Linked DNA regions of Saccharomyces cerevisiae S288C. The gene in region 4 interacts genetically with the main gene of each other region. Each region holds a gene or a part of one and is shown on either strand. Other genes may lie near its edges.

Evidence for each region.
Region 1: mutations in HXT1 (region 4) and YGR016W together harm fitness more than expected from each alone (negative genetic interaction), as found in Saccharomyces cerevisiae (one large-scale study listed by BioGRID).
Region 2: mutations in HXT1 (region 4) and TRX1 together harm fitness more than expected from each alone (negative genetic interaction), as found in Saccharomyces cerevisiae (one large-scale study listed by BioGRID).
Region 3: mutations in HXT1 (region 4) and GLR1 together harm fitness less than expected from each alone (positive genetic interaction), as found in Saccharomyces cerevisiae (one large-scale study listed by BioGRID).

The regions. Positions count from the first base shown.
Region 1 is NC_001139.9:519,768-523,333, reverse strand, and holds YGR016W (uncharacterized protein), read right to left. Parts: upstream 1,074-3,566; coding exon 501-1,073; downstream 1-500. Other genes in the region: YGR016C-A (uncharacterized protein), read left to right, coding at 1-88; EAT1 (putative hydrolase), read left to right, coding at 1,258-2,244; MSB2 (Msb2p), read right to left, coding at 2,471-3,566.
Region 2 is NC_001144.5:230,946-233,901, reverse strand, and holds TRX1 (thioredoxin TRX1), read left to right. Parts: upstream 1-1,888; coding exon 1,889-2,200; downstream 2,201-2,956. Other genes in the region: PDC1 (indolepyruvate decarboxylase 1), read left to right, coding at 1-1,512. UniProt on the Saccharomyces cerevisiae protein: Participates as a hydrogen donor in redox reactions through the reversible oxidation of its active center dithiol to a disulfide, accompanied by the transfer of 2 electrons and 2 protons.
Region 3 is NC_001148.4:373,321-377,724, reverse strand, and holds GLR1 (glutathione-disulfide reductase GLR1), read right to left. Parts: upstream 2,224-4,404; coding exon 772-2,223; downstream 1-771. Other genes in the region: 40S ribosomal protein eS6 RPS6A, read left to right, coding at 1-434; SSU1 (Ssu1p), read right to left, coding at 2,556-3,932. UniProt on the Saccharomyces cerevisiae protein: Catalyzes the reduction of glutathione disulfide (GSSG) to reduced glutathione (GSH). Constitutes the major mechanism to maintain a high GSH:GSSG ratio in the cytosol.
Region 4 is NC_001140.6:289,996-294,563, reverse strand, and holds HXT1 (hexose transporter HXT1), read left to right. Parts: upstream 1-1,938; coding exon 1,939-3,651; downstream 3,652-4,568. UniProt on the Saccharomyces cerevisiae protein: Low-affinity glucose transporter. HXT1 is as well involved in the transport of mannose.

The DNA.
Region 1 (3,566 bases), on a different chromosome or scaffold from region 4:
TCCAATTGACATGGTTTTGCTCGCTCACCTCATTGGCATCATCTACTTAATTATAATTCTAGGTACATTGGTCATGTTGTTTTCTTGATAGATATGCAACGCCTCGAAGACTATTTAGCAAGCTATTATATTGAAATTAGAGACTTCTGCACTAGATAGCCTTTTCAAAACATACGGATAAACTGATCTTTTAACGTATCTGCACTTTTGTACGAAGCTGGAAAGTTCCGAAGAAAGTGTTAGCTCCAAACTGAATCCTCTTGTAAGCTATTCTATGTCCCCTTTGACTAGGTTAGTCTTTTACTGGATTTTAAAGCAGATTCCTGTGACGATGATTTTGGAATTAAAGCTATATATATGTATGCTTGAATAAGCTCGTAGCAGTACTTTTTGGCCTTGTTCACAAATAAGGAGCTGCCAACCAATCAATTTGTAATATTAGTAATAAATATTCCGGAATATACTAACCAATGAATATTACAATACGTCGCGATATAGAACTAAGCATTTTTGTATTTGTATTTCAAGCATCTTAGATCTGCGATTTCATCTTCGATATTTCGAGCCCATCTTTTCACAAGCACAGCGACCCAGAATAAAAACATTGGAACTTGCAAACAGAGCACCGTTTTTTTATCTTCGACCACATGATTGAAACTTATCCAAGCCATAAGTACTAGTAAAATAATGTTTATTATGTTAATAGAAAAATTGCTCACTCTTAACTTAAACTTTTTGAACAAAAGATAGTCGTTTACAATATCATATCTAAGTGTGATGCACGAACAGATCAAAGAATTAGCGCCAGCAAGAAGTGCTAACTTAATATACCCTCGCGATTTTCTTACGAGTATCATTAGCAGTCCGCCATATAGCAAATACAATATGCTTAACAGGTTTATGTACAGCTTATTTGTGATGTGAGCATTAGTCTCAAATTTTTGTATGAGTTCTTCCTGCTCTTCTGTATCTAATGGTAATATGGATACATCTTCTTGATCAGATTCACCGTCATGAGTGTAGTCAGAACTCAAGCTTAAGATCTTTCTATTGAATCTTCTTAATCTGGACATGATTGAAATATTTGCTTTATCTTAGTATCCTGTTTAAAAATTATTCTAAACTCAACCTATCATAGAAACCAGCCTTTACTGAATACCACAGCGCGTCTTTTGGGGAAACTGTTTTTGTCTCATGCCAAGGTCGAGACGTATACAAACTGCAAAATAAAAGGAACCGTGGGAAGAGGGCTTACAAATGTCGAGACTAGCGCATAATAAAGCGCTACCTTATAAAATAATTGTCGATTTATCATTCCATAGAACGCGTTTACCCTCAGATGTTTCATCGCTAATAAAATTCGAGCAAAGACCTGCAATTATTAACATCCATGGCCTTTTGGGCTCACACGTGATGTTTCATTCTCTCAATAAGCTTCTTTCAAGGAAGCTTGACGCGGATATTTTTTCTGTTGATGTAAGAAATCATGGCATTTCACCAAAAGCAATACCTTATGACTACACTACACTGACCAATGATTTGATTTATTTTATTGAAACTCATATTGGCTTGGAGAGACCTATTTATTTACTGGGATTCTCTATGGGTGGTAAAATTGCATTATTAACCACATTGTACAAGAATATTAATATACGAAAGTGTATATCAATTGATTTACCGCCTTATGAAACCCCAGAATTAGATCCCATGATATTACAAAACTATGACTTAATAATGCGGATTATCCGCAGAGATGTCAAGATTTTAAGAGGTTCCCCCAGCTGGCAGAAAAAAGTTCTTGAGCTTTTCAAAAGTTTGGAATGTAATAAGAGGAAATGTGGTGGAGCTGTGGCACTCTACTTTGCCAACGGTTTTCTTTCTGTAAAATCCAATAATGTACACCAAGCACAGTTACACTATGAACAACAACAGCATGATCCTTATATAAATTACTCAATGCCTCTCTCCAGCATGCCGAACCTGTTGGATGAAGTGAAAAAATGGCCGGATCTATCGAACCAAAGGGACTTCTTCCAAAAAGGCACAGCCAGTCGTAAAGTTTTATTCATGAAAGGCCTGCAGTCTAACTTTATTAACAATGATTATTCCCTCCTGAGGTATAACTTTCCCTGTGCTGATGTCCGAGAATTTAATACTGGGCATAATTTACTGTTGGAGAATCCAGAGGACTCATTCAAATGTATTCTGAACTTTTTTGCGGAGGAGACGCTGGATTTTGAATAAAATCTTGATGTACGTAACGCACTTTCTTCTCGTGTCAGGCCCAAATCAACGCACACAGCAGTGCTTCGATCTTTGATTACAAAGTAGATAATGATAAATGGAATAGATAAAAGTATTAAAACAACGTCTCCTTGAAGGAGAACTATACATAAGATATGAAATAAGTAGGTATCGTTATAAGTTTATAAGGTTATGCAAGCGGAGAAAGTCTCTGCAGACATTGCTATCAAACTTCGTTCCAACCCAGGGAGTTTTGGCTAGCAATTGGTCTTGAAATTTTTGGTATGGAACTCGATGTATTGTGCCTGGTTGGAGTTGAGTCATTATTTGTCAACCCGTGACCATAGTAACTATCATCCATCCAATTTTGAATTCGCATAGATTGTGTTATGGATTCTTGAACGCTCATTCTCTTTTCATTATTGTAATTTTTCTCTCCACCAAATTCACTTGAACTGATACTGGAAATTTCTGGGTTCTTGATAATTTCTTGACTTTGAATCCGCCTTCTTATGATATACTTGAAAGCAAAAATCATGAATAAAATATATAAGCATCCACCAACAACAACGCCGATAACTAAACCAATGATTTTTTTCTTTGATTTGCTAGAAGTGGATACGTTGGAGTTAGATTTGGATGAATATTCCAAAGTACCGGCATCTTGATAGGAATTTCCGGAAGATGAAGACACACCGGAGTTCGAATTAGATCCTGAACCTGAAGATCCTGAGTTCGAATTACTGGAGGAGGATCCGTCCGAAGATCCGCCAGAGTTGCTGTTACTATCGTGTAAGAGGCCCGTTAGCGGTATTGAGGAATCAACCATTGCAGCCATAGATTTTGCTGTACCCATTCCATCCGTGTAAAAAGCGCTTGAAGAGTTGGTAATTAGATTTGACAGCTCCTCTATTTCTGCAGTTGGAAAGTATACTTCAGCAACACTTACTAAGTAGTTGAGTGAGTCATCCTGTAATGGCACTATTTGTAGTACCGTAATGTTTGTGAATACGTTCTTAAAAGGTGTGTTCAGAGCTTCAGGCAAGTATCCGAAGATTTGAGCCGATGATTTTGGTTCTGATACAACAAATTCGTAGTTCAAAGCTTTTTTGAACCCTATTGTGATTAGGGTGTAGCCCTCAGGCTCGGGAACTTGTGTCGCGGCTGCAATTGCATGGGGCAAAGTCATAGTTTGTGTTCCTCCAACGGTAGAAGATGCAGTGGATGCAGCTTCTGGTGCCTGCGTGATTAACTCAGTTGGAATCCACCAATTGTTGTCACTTGAAGTGACCAGACTAAACGTACTGGAACTGTTAGTCGTT
Region 2 (2,956 bases), on a different chromosome or scaffold from region 4:
TACGCTCGTATCAAGGGTATGTCTTGTATCATCACCACCTTCGGTGTCGGTGAATTGTCTGCTTTGAACGGTATTGCCGGTTCTTACGCTGAACACGTCGGTGTTTTGCACGTTGTTGGTGTCCCATCCATCTCTGCTCAAGCTAAGCAATTGTTGTTGCACCACACCTTGGGTAACGGTGACTTCACTGTTTTCCACAGAATGTCTGCCAACATTTCTGAAACCACTGCTATGATCACTGACATTGCTACCGCCCCAGCTGAAATTGACAGATGTATCAGAACCACTTACGTCACCCAAAGACCAGTCTACTTAGGTTTGCCAGCTAACTTGGTCGACTTGAACGTCCCAGCTAAGTTGTTGCAAACTCCAATTGACATGTCTTTGAAGCCAAACGATGCTGAATCCGAAAAGGAAGTCATTGACACCATCTTGGCTTTGGTCAAGGATGCTAAGAACCCAGTTATCTTGGCTGATGCTTGTTGTTCCAGACACGACGTCAAGGCTGAAACTAAGAAGTTGATTGACTTGACTCAATTCCCAGCTTTCGTCACCCCAATGGGTAAGGGTTCCATTGACGAACAACACCCAAGATACGGTGGTGTTTACGTCGGTACCTTGTCCAAGCCAGAAGTTAAGGAAGCCGTTGAATCTGCTGACTTGATTTTGTCTGTCGGTGCTTTGTTGTCTGATTTCAACACCGGTTCTTTCTCTTACTCTTACAAGACCAAGAACATTGTCGAATTCCACTCCGACCACATGAAGATCAGAAACGCCACTTTCCCAGGTGTCCAAATGAAATTCGTTTTGCAAAAGTTGTTGACCACTATTGCTGACGCCGCTAAGGGTTACAAGCCAGTTGCTGTCCCAGCTAGAACTCCAGCTAACGCTGCTGTCCCAGCTTCTACCCCATTGAAGCAAGAATGGATGTGGAACCAATTGGGTAACTTCTTGCAAGAAGGTGATGTTGTCATTGCTGAAACCGGTACCTCCGCTTTCGGTATCAACCAAACCACTTTCCCAAACAACACCTACGGTATCTCTCAAGTCTTATGGGGTTCCATTGGTTTCACCACTGGTGCTACCTTGGGTGCTGCTTTCGCTGCTGAAGAAATTGATCCAAAGAAGAGAGTTATCTTATTCATTGGTGACGGTTCTTTGCAATTGACTGTTCAAGAAATCTCCACCATGATCAGATGGGGCTTGAAGCCATACTTGTTCGTCTTGAACAACGATGGTTACACCATTGAAAAGTTGATTCACGGTCCAAAGGCTCAATACAACGAAATTCAAGGTTGGGACCACCTATCCTTGTTGCCAACTTTCGGTGCTAAGGACTATGAAACCCACAGAGTCGCTACCACCGGTGAATGGGACAAGTTGACCCAAGACAAGTCTTTCAACGACAACTCTAAGATCAGAATGATTGAAATCATGTTGCCAGTCTTCGATGCTCCACAAAACTTGGTTGAACAAGCTAAGTTGACTGCTGCTACCAACGCTAAGCAATAAGCGATTTAATCTCTAATTATTAGTTAAAGTTTTATAAGCATTTTTATGTAACGAAAAATAAATTGGTTCATATTATTACTGCACTGTCACTTACCATGGAAAGACCAGACAAGAAGTTGCCGACAGTCTGTTGAATTGGCCTGGTTAGGCTTAAGTCTGGGTCCGCTTCTTTACAAATTTGGAGAATTTCTCTTAAACGATATGTATATTCTTTTCGTTGGAAAAGATGTCTTCCAAAAAAAAAACCGATGAATTAGTGGAACCAAGGAAAAAAAAAGAGGTATCCTTGATTAAGGAACACTGTTTAAACAGTGTGGTTTCCAAAACCCTGAAACTGCATTAGTGTAATAGAAGACTAGACACCTCGATACAAATAATGGTTACTCAATTCAAAACTGCCAGCGAATTCGACTCTGCAATTGCTCAAGACAAGCTAGTTGTCGTAGATTTCTACGCCACTTGGTGCGGTCCATGTAAAATGATTGCTCCAATGATTGAAAAATTCTCTGAACAATACCCACAAGCTGATTTCTATAAATTGGATGTCGATGAATTGGGTGATGTTGCACAAAAGAATGAAGTTTCCGCTATGCCAACTTTGCTTCTATTCAAGAACGGTAAGGAAGTTGCAAAGGTTGTTGGTGCCAACCCAGCGGCTATTAAGCAAGCCATTGCTGCTAATGCTTAAACTCACCCAATGACCGATATATTGTGTTTCTATACTGTGTTTGTTATATATAGTTTACCTTTTTTAGACAAAAAAACAGAATTATATATTATCCTTATGTTTTGTTATTTACTCGGAAGCACACAATTGCCCACCACACAAAGGAGGTGGAGGAAACAATTAATTTTTCACACAAGAGGTATATATTTGGAGAAAAATGAAGAATGAGATACTTTTCTTCCGATTACTTAAGTATTACGGCTCTGAAATTTTCTCGAGCATTAGATGATTAAATCAAAATGACATAGTATTTCGCAACCTTTCAGTTGGGCTTTGTTTAAGAAGTGGAATACTTTTGCTTGAGTTGTTTAGTTTTATTTTATCCACTGTTGTCTTAACAAATATTTTCAAGACCGGTAAGCCGAAGATGAAAAATCATTATTAACTCATTTTTTGAACAAAAATATAAACAAAAGAAAGGCAACGCACAATTTTAGAGATACATAAAACGCAGTGGATGTTAAAAATAACAGCGGTACAGAAACGCCTGTCTCGCTCCAATAATAATTATACAAATTTGAAACCGAACGCAATGTGCCAAGAAATGTAAACACACTATAGAAAAAAATAGAACGGTGCACATTGTGCTAGCATATCTGCTTGGTTCTGAACAAGAAGCACCTGGCCACTTTCTCCTAGCCCAATTCTTGCCAAGTTTTCAACCTCAATCTTTTGTGTTTGAACAAGCATGTATGAGGGGTCAAAATTTAGTGGAGG
Region 3 (4,404 bases), on a different chromosome or scaffold from region 4:
AGAGAAAGTCCGTCAGAGGTGCCATTGTTGGTCCAGATTTGGCTGTCTTGGCTTTGGTCATTGTCAAGAAGGGTGAGCAAGAATTGGAAGGTCTAACTGACACTACTGTTCCAAAGAGATTGGGTCCAAAGAGAGCTAACAACATCAGAAAGTTCTTCGGTTTGTCCAAGGAAGATGACGTTCGTGATTTCGTCATCAGAAGAGAAGTCACCAAGGGTGAAAAGACTTACACCAAGGCTCCAAAGATCCAAAGATTGGTTACTCCTCAAAGATTGCAAAGAAAGAGACACCAAAGAGCTTTGAAGGTCAGAAACGCTCAAGCTCAAAGAGAAGCTGCTGCCGAATACGCTCAATTGTTGGCTAAGAGATTGTCTGAAAGAAAGGCTGAGAAGGCTGAAATCAGAAAGAGAAGAGCTTCTTCTTTGAAGGCTTAAAGTTAGAAAGCAGTAAAAGATAAATTCTTTTGTTCAAAAACTCCTTTCTTATTCTGTATTTTGTGTATTTTTAAGCTTAAAATCAAATAACTTTATTTTTTATATAATTAACAAAAAGAAAAATAATCATATGTATTGTAAACGAGAGTCGGAATGTATCCTCAACTGAATATCCAAGCGAGTCCACAGTAGCTAATAGTCTGAAAAAAAAAGGAACCCTTGTCCTTGAACAGAAATGACAAAATTACTACGTATTTCAGGATGCTATATAAGATTGTTTACAAGAGTACAAAAGTCCAGTATAGCAACAGCAGATTGGACGTCTAGTTTCGTTGCTTCATCTCATAGTAACCAATTCTTCTGCGCTAGTCGGATGAATAGCAACACAATTATCGAAATCAGCCTTAGTGGCACCCATCTTTATAGCAACACCGAACCCTTGCAAGATTTCTGCAGAGGAATCACCAACAATGTGCAGACCGACAACCTTTTCATTTGGTCCCGCACAAACAATTTTATATCTTGTGGGTGATTTCTCACTCAACATAGCATAGTACATGGCGGTAAATTTGGAATTGTAGACCTTTATATTCTCCTTACCGTACTTTTCAATGGCTTCCTTCTCAGAAATACCAATGGAACCGGCTTCAGGATGTGAGAAAATTACGCTGGGGACGTTCTCGTAATCTAGTTTGTCATTACGGAATTTCTCTGGACCAAACAGTCTATTAGACAGCTTTCTGCCCGCTGCAATAGCGACAGGTGTCAATTCAACTTTTCCAACAACGTCACCTAGAGAATAAATGTTTGGAACATTGGTGTTCTGATATTCATCAGCAATTATTTGGTCATGAGAGTTCAGCTTTATACCTACATTTTCTGAACCCATACCTAGATGGGATTTACGTCCAATTGTCCAAATTAATTCGTCAACGTCATCGATGGACTTTGAGTCATTCATATGTATTTTCAGTTTGTCAGTTTCTACATTTTTCTCCACCTTAACAATTTTGGATAGTTTATGAACGTTGATGCCTTCCTTTACGTAATGGTCAGTAATAGTGTTCTGGATGCATTCATCAAATTTTCTCAAGACAGTTTCACCTCTAATTACCAAGTGCGTTTCGGATCCCAGCCCATGGAACACACCTGCTAGCTCAATACCAATATAACCAGCGCCAACAACAACAACTTTCTTAGGTTGTTCTTCCAATCTAAAGAACCCATCAGAATCAGTACCTAATTCGAAACCTGGAATGTTTTCGGGGAAAATAGCCTTTCCACCGGTCGCAACTAAAATATGGTTAGCGGAGTAAACTTCAGTAGTATTATCCCTTTTCTGAACTTCAACATTACCGTCCTTATTGAATCTAGCCCATCCAAATACAACATCCACTTTTTCTTTTTCTAAATTCTTCTGGTATATACCGTTCAACCTATGGACATAAGCATCCCTTTTCTGCTTAAATTCTGGCCAATTAAAAGTCAAATGCTCTTTATCTAATGGAAGATTCTGATATAATCCATATTCATTTGCATGGGATACTCTAGTAGCGAGGTCAGAAGCATACCACATGACTTTCTTCGGAACACAACCCACGTTAACACAGGTACCACCAAGAGCCTTAGCTTCAACTAGTAATGTCTTCGCACCATAAGATGCAGCTCTTCTTGCGGAAGCAACACCCCCTGAGCCACCCCCGATGACGAGGTAATCGTAATGCTTGGTGTTCGTGGACATAGTTCTTATCTGTAGACTTCTAAATGTTTGTTTGGTTGCAGAAAGCATAAAGTTCTGTAAACTAATATGTAAATAGATATATATACATATGAAGGAAAGCAGCAAAATATACTGAGAGTGAGAAGCGCATGAGAAAAACCAGAAGTGTTTCTTATACTTTTTTAGACTGATTTTAATAGTAGATTCCAAATGGAAAGCTCCGAAATCCTCGAAAAATTGACAAGGGTCGTGCTTACTAAGTGACGTCAAAAAATATCAGGCATAGTGAAAACCAACGTGAAGAAGCAAAAGCAGCAAAGCGCCGTGCAAATGAATTAAACTATCTATTGAGACTCCTACATGAAATGCTTGCCAATTATGTACGTATAAAACCAACAATTTTATGCTAAACGCGTAAAATCTAGAGCCGAGTTTGATTCTTCCACGCTTTCAATGCTGTTATACGGAGAAACTGTCGTCTTTTCCGTACCTGACTCTGAAAATAATGAAGATTTACGGGCAGCATGCAGCATCTTTTTAGAATACTCATGCAATGTGCATAAAAGGCATAGAATTGACCAACAAACGCAAACACCGCCGTATATGGTTCCTAGGACTCTAAATGCATATAAGGGAACGTACTGGTTATACTGCACATATAACTCTTCGTTTCCTAAAGACATAGTACCCATCGGGAAAGTCATCCCCCAAAAACCTTTGTGGAAGGTATAAACTCTCTTCACTTTTCCTGTCTCGTTTTCAATCTCTTTTTTATTGTAGTACGACAGGATTGAAACGACAGAAATCACGGTGAAAAAATAGCCCATAGCGAGCAATGCCATAGCAGAAACCATGCCTAGAATTTTGAAACACCATGGAACTGCAATAGTCAATATCTCTTGTTCTCTTGTAATGTTATCTGTTGGGTAATATTTGCCCGCATATTTTTTTATATTATCTGTAAGCAATAAGACTCCAAAACTTCCTTGGCCCATCGGGCCCAAAAGCAGGAATAAGGTGAAAACCTGTGTCATTGGTGGTATCTTATTAATATAAAGACTCCAGAAGTATATCGCAATCAGTATGAAGACGAAGATAATGGCATGCAGCCACGTTAAGGCACATATGACCAACGTTATCAGTTGAATGTTTCTATTAAACGCATGGAAGAATATTTCTGACATTGTGAATGTTCCACAACTTGAAGCGACGACAACCAGCGGAATGATATCCAGTAGCAATACACTTTTCATGTTTTCGGATGCCATTTTGATATTATATGAAGGATAATTCCCAATCCCTTCCAAAGGGTAATAGTCATGCCAGATGAGAAACGAGATACCCCACGCTATTACTAGACAGACTGCGAGATCATACCACCACAAGACGTAAACAAATATCATCAAATTTCTGGCATTAGTGGGGCTCTTCGTCGTGTTCGCTTTCGAGAGTGCTCCTAAGAAATTTATAATTGTAACTAACCCCATGGGATAAGTACCCCAAAATAAATTGTGCTTCATATTTCTGAAAAAGTCATTAAAATATTCTCTGAAGCTTTTCTCCTTAATATAGACAATCAAATGTAATATTTGTAGTGCCTGCACAGCAATGAAAATAAGGCAAGCGATAGCAAACATGATGTAGGAGCATATTCTTAGCCACCTTGCAGGATATGGGAAGCTATATAGAATATTCGATGAAATGCCGACACCCATGACCATCATAAACATGAAGGGGTCAAACTGCCTCGTAAGAGCAAGTACCCAATTGGCAACCATTTTTTTCTTGTACTTGTCTTCTCTTACACTATAAAACGTTTTTAAATTGCGCGTATTGTCTGAGCTCAATCAACAATCGTTACTAGGGGAAAGCTGTAATTTGTGTGTTGTCTAAATGCGGAGAATTTGTTCAGCCAATATCACAAGTTTCAACTTAACAAGACAAGGATTAGAAATAAGAACTACACGCTGGTTGGCTATTCTTTTAGAACCTCTAGTTAAATAGGTAAAATAAGCAAAGTGAGCAAAAATAAGCAAAAGAAGTCAAAGACAACCCCAATGTGCCAAAGACGGCGATGAGTCTTCTGTTTTTTAAGATTCATGCACTCTCAGATTTTCGGCTACAGACGCGGCACAAGGATGAAAAAAAAAAAATGATAGTTTGCAGGAATTTATCAGTCAATTGATGGGAGACATCGCTATTGTTGCCTTATACGATACACTGCAAAAACGATAACAATTTCTTATTTGT
Region 4 (4,568 bases):
TCATAGTTTACAAATAATGCAATCATATGCAGAGATATTTTGTCCGTGGTTAATAGGGCTGCCTGTTATTCCTTTAATTCAACTAAATTACGTATGTCTAATAATATCAAAATCATCATGACGTTTTTGTTTTTTTTCTTTATTTTAAGTAGGATCAAACCAGGGGAGAAAGGGTTGCTACGCCTAACAACAAGAACTTGTATATCGTTTCTTGTTACTTATACTTTTCTGCCCACTTCTCTCTTACAACTGCTCGAGCTCATCCTTGGTAATAAAACAGTGAGGACGGTTACTCGAGGTTTCAACAGGGGAAAATAAATTTATATGATGAATCAAGAGCCCCGTTCTTTTACCGTATTATCCTTCATACTACATACTAGGGAAAGAACTGAAAACTCCGCTACCTGCTGTAACAGCGCATAATAAAAAGCAAGAATATAGACAGTTACTGTTGTTTACGTTCTTTGATGACATCATTCTCATCAGACATACAGAAACACATCCTTTTTGTCTACCCCGTATTTATTCCAACTTCAAAGTATAGGTACCGTCCGGTTATACTCTCATATACTTTGTGGCAGTTTGCTTCTTTAAACCTTGTTAACCCAGAATATTTTCAGTGCAAAAAGCTTCCGATCCTCAAATACAGTGAGAGAAAAAGCAAACTTGTCTTCATTATTTTTCTGTTTGGCCCTGTCACGGTTCTTTTTATGGCCTTCTCGAAGGATATCCGTAGTCAATTATATTCACGTAGTTGCCAAAAGTAATTTTTGGAAAACTATTATTCCTCCGAGAAAACCTCACACAGAAATCCTTGCAGGTCTCATCTGGAATATAATTCCCCCCTCCTGAAGCAAATTTTTCCTTTGAGCCGGAATTTTTGATATTCCGAGTTCTTTTTTTCCATTCGCGGAGGTTATTCCATTCCTAAACGAGTGGCCACAATGAAACTTCAATTCATATCGACCGACTATTTTTCTCCGAACCAAAAAAATAGCAGGGCGAGATTGGAGCTGCGGAAAAAAGAGGAAAAAATTTTTTCGTAGTTTTCTTGTGCAAATTAGGGTGTAAGGTTTCTAGGGCTTATTGGTTCAAGCAGAAGAGACAACAATTGTAGGTCCTAAATTCAAGGCGGATGTAAGGAGTATTGGTTTCGAAAGTTTTTCCGAAGCGGCATGGCAGGGACTACTTGCGCATGCGCTCGGATTATCTTCATTTTTGCTTGCAAAAACGTAGAATCATGGTAAATTACATGAAGAATTCTCTTTTTTTTTTTTTTTTTTTTTTTTTTACCTCTAAAGAGTGTTGACCAACTGAAAAAACCCTTCTTCAAGAGAGTTAAACTAAGACTAACCATCATAACTTCCAAGGAATTAATCGATATCTTGCACTCCTGATTTTTCTTCAAAGAGACAGCGCAAAGGATTATGACACTGTTGCATTGAGTCAAAAGTTTTTCCGAAGTGACCCAGTGCTCTTTTTTTTTTTCCGTGAAGGACTGACAAATATGCGCACAAGATCCAATACGTAATGGAAATTCGGAAAAACTAGGAAGAAATGCTGCAGGGCATTGCCGTGCCGATCTTTTGTCTTTCAGATATATGAGAAAAAGAATATTCATCAAGTGCTGATAGAAGAATACCACTCATATGACGTGGGCAGAAGACAGCAAACGTAAACATGAGCTGCTGCGACATTTGATGGCTTTTATCCGACAAGCCAGGAAACTCCACCATTATCTAATGTAGCAAAATATTTCTTAACACCCGAAGTTGCGTGTCCCCCTCACGTTTTTAATCATTTGAATTAGTATATTGAAATTATATATAAAGGCAACAATGTCCCCATAATCAATTCCATCTGGGGTCTCATGTTCTTTCCCCACCTTAAAATCTATAAAGATATCATAATCGTCAACTAGTTGATATACGTAAAATCATGAATTCAACTCCCGATCTAATATCTCCTCAGAAATCCAATTCATCCAACTCATATGAATTGGAATCTGGTCGTTCAAAGGCCATGAATACTCCAGAAGGTAAAAATGAAAGTTTTCACGACAACTTAAGTGAAAGTCAAGTGCAACCCGCCGTTGCCCCTCCAAACACCGGAAAAGGTGTCTACGTAACGGTTTCTATCTGTTGTGTTATGGTTGCTTTCGGTGGTTTCATATTTGGATGGGATACTGGTACCATTTCTGGTTTTGTTGCTCAAACTGATTTTCTAAGAAGATTTGGTATGAAGCACCACGACGGTAGTCATTACTTGTCCAAGGTGAGAACTGGTTTAATTGTCTCTATTTTTAACATTGGTTGTGCCATTGGTGGTATCGTCTTAGCCAAGCTAGGTGATATGTATGGTCGTAGAATCGGTTTGATTGTCGTTGTAGTAATCTACACTATCGGTATCATTATTCAAATAGCCTCGATCAACAAGTGGTACCAATATTTCATTGGTAGAATTATCTCTGGTTTAGGTGTCGGTGGTATCACAGTTTTATCTCCCATGCTAATATCTGAGGTCGCCCCCAGTGAAATGAGAGGCACCTTGGTTTCATGTTACCAAGTCATGATTACTTTAGGTATTTTCTTAGGTTACTGTACCAATTTTGGTACCAAGAATTACTCAAACTCTGTCCAATGGAGAGTTCCATTAGGTTTGTGTTTCGCCTGGGCCTTATTTATGATTGGTGGTATGATGTTTGTTCCTGAATCTCCACGTTATTTGGTTGAAGCTGGCAGAATCGACGAAGCCAGGGCTTCTTTAGCTAAAGTTAACAAATGCCCACCTGACCATCCATACATTCAATATGAGTTGGAAACTATCGAAGCCAGTGTCGAAGAAATGAGAGCCGCTGGTACTGCATCTTGGGGCGAATTATTCACTGGTAAACCAGCCATGTTTCAACGTACTATGATGGGTATCATGATTCAATCTCTACAACAATTAACTGGTGATAACTATTTCTTCTACTACGGTACCATTGTTTTCCAGGCTGTCGGTTTAAGTGACTCTTTTGAAACTTCTATTGTCTTTGGTGTCGTCAACTTCTTCTCCACTTGTTGTTCTCTGTACACCGTTGACCGTTTTGGCCGTCGTAACTGTTTGATGTGGGGTGCTGTCGGTATGGTCTGCTGTTATGTTGTCTATGCCTCTGTTGGTGTTACCAGATTATGGCCAAACGGTCAAGATCAACCATCTTCAAAGGGTGCTGGTAACTGTATGATTGTTTTCGCATGTTTCTACATTTTCTGTTTCGCTACTACCTGGGCCCCAATTGCTTACGTTGTTATTTCAGAATGTTTCCCATTAAGAGTCAAATCCAAGTGTATGTCTATTGCCAGTGCTGCTAACTGGATCTGGGGTTTCTTGATTAGTTTCTTCACCCCATTTATTACTGGTGCCATCAACTTCTACTACGGTTACGTTTTCATGGGCTGTATGGTTTTCGCTTACTTTTACGTCTTTTTCTTCGTTCCAGAAACTAAAGGTTTATCATTAGAAGAAGTTAATGATATGTACGCCGAAGGTGTTCTACCATGGAAATCAGCTTCCTGGGTTCCAGTATCCAAGAGAGGCGCTGACTACAACGCTGATGACCTAATGCATGATGACCAACCATTTTACAAGAGTTTGTTTAGCAGGAAATAAACTAAACAAGCTCAATATGCATATTTTAATGACTTATACAGTATTTAATTTCTCAGTAAATTTTATAAAGGTGATATTATATTGGTGTTAAAACAAAATTCTTGTCAAATTCATAAACAGATGTTCTTTTCTTTGCTAGTTCTTGACCTTCACCAAGGAACAAGAAATTTCATTCTGGCACTCTTCCGAGGAAAAATTTTATATGATATAGTATGGGTTAATACCACATAGGCGCTATACATAGTTCAAACGCCCGCTTATGATTTCGGAAAAATGTCAAATGAATAGAAATTGACAACGCTGCTGCTTCAACATCTAGTAGTGTTACTTAAGCCTGTTAGGATGTTGTTTTTAGGTATTTATAATTACTAGCAATAATTTCCATTAACAGATAACCGAGTCGATCTCAATGGATATACAGTTGCCAATCATATGTATTTTCTGACTGGCACAGGGAGACACGAAAAACACTTGCTTGATAAGAGGTGAAGCAGTAAAGAAAAGACGACAAGTAAAAAAAAAATGACGAGAAAATGCACGCTACCATCGAAAAGGCGACCTTTCCAATCCACTAAGAGTTACTTTAAAATCGTTGAAAAAGCATTATGACACTATGTTTGGCGCCAATAAGAATACTACGTCATTATGCATGGAGGAGAACCGAATATTTTTTTTTTATTCCAGCCCTCTTCATGTAAATGTTCTGATTGATAAAAGAATGAAAAGCCCTAGGGTTATTAAATCCAAAACTTAGGCTGCCAACCTGACATTGTAGACAAGACACGACAGCGGTAAGAGAAGATCTGAACAGCTGACGCAAGTACCCCAGATATTTTCCAACTTTTACGGGAAAAAAGACTAATAGGAAGGAGGTGGGGAATCATGCTTTAGTTTCAACTTTGAGGTTTAGCTTTCAG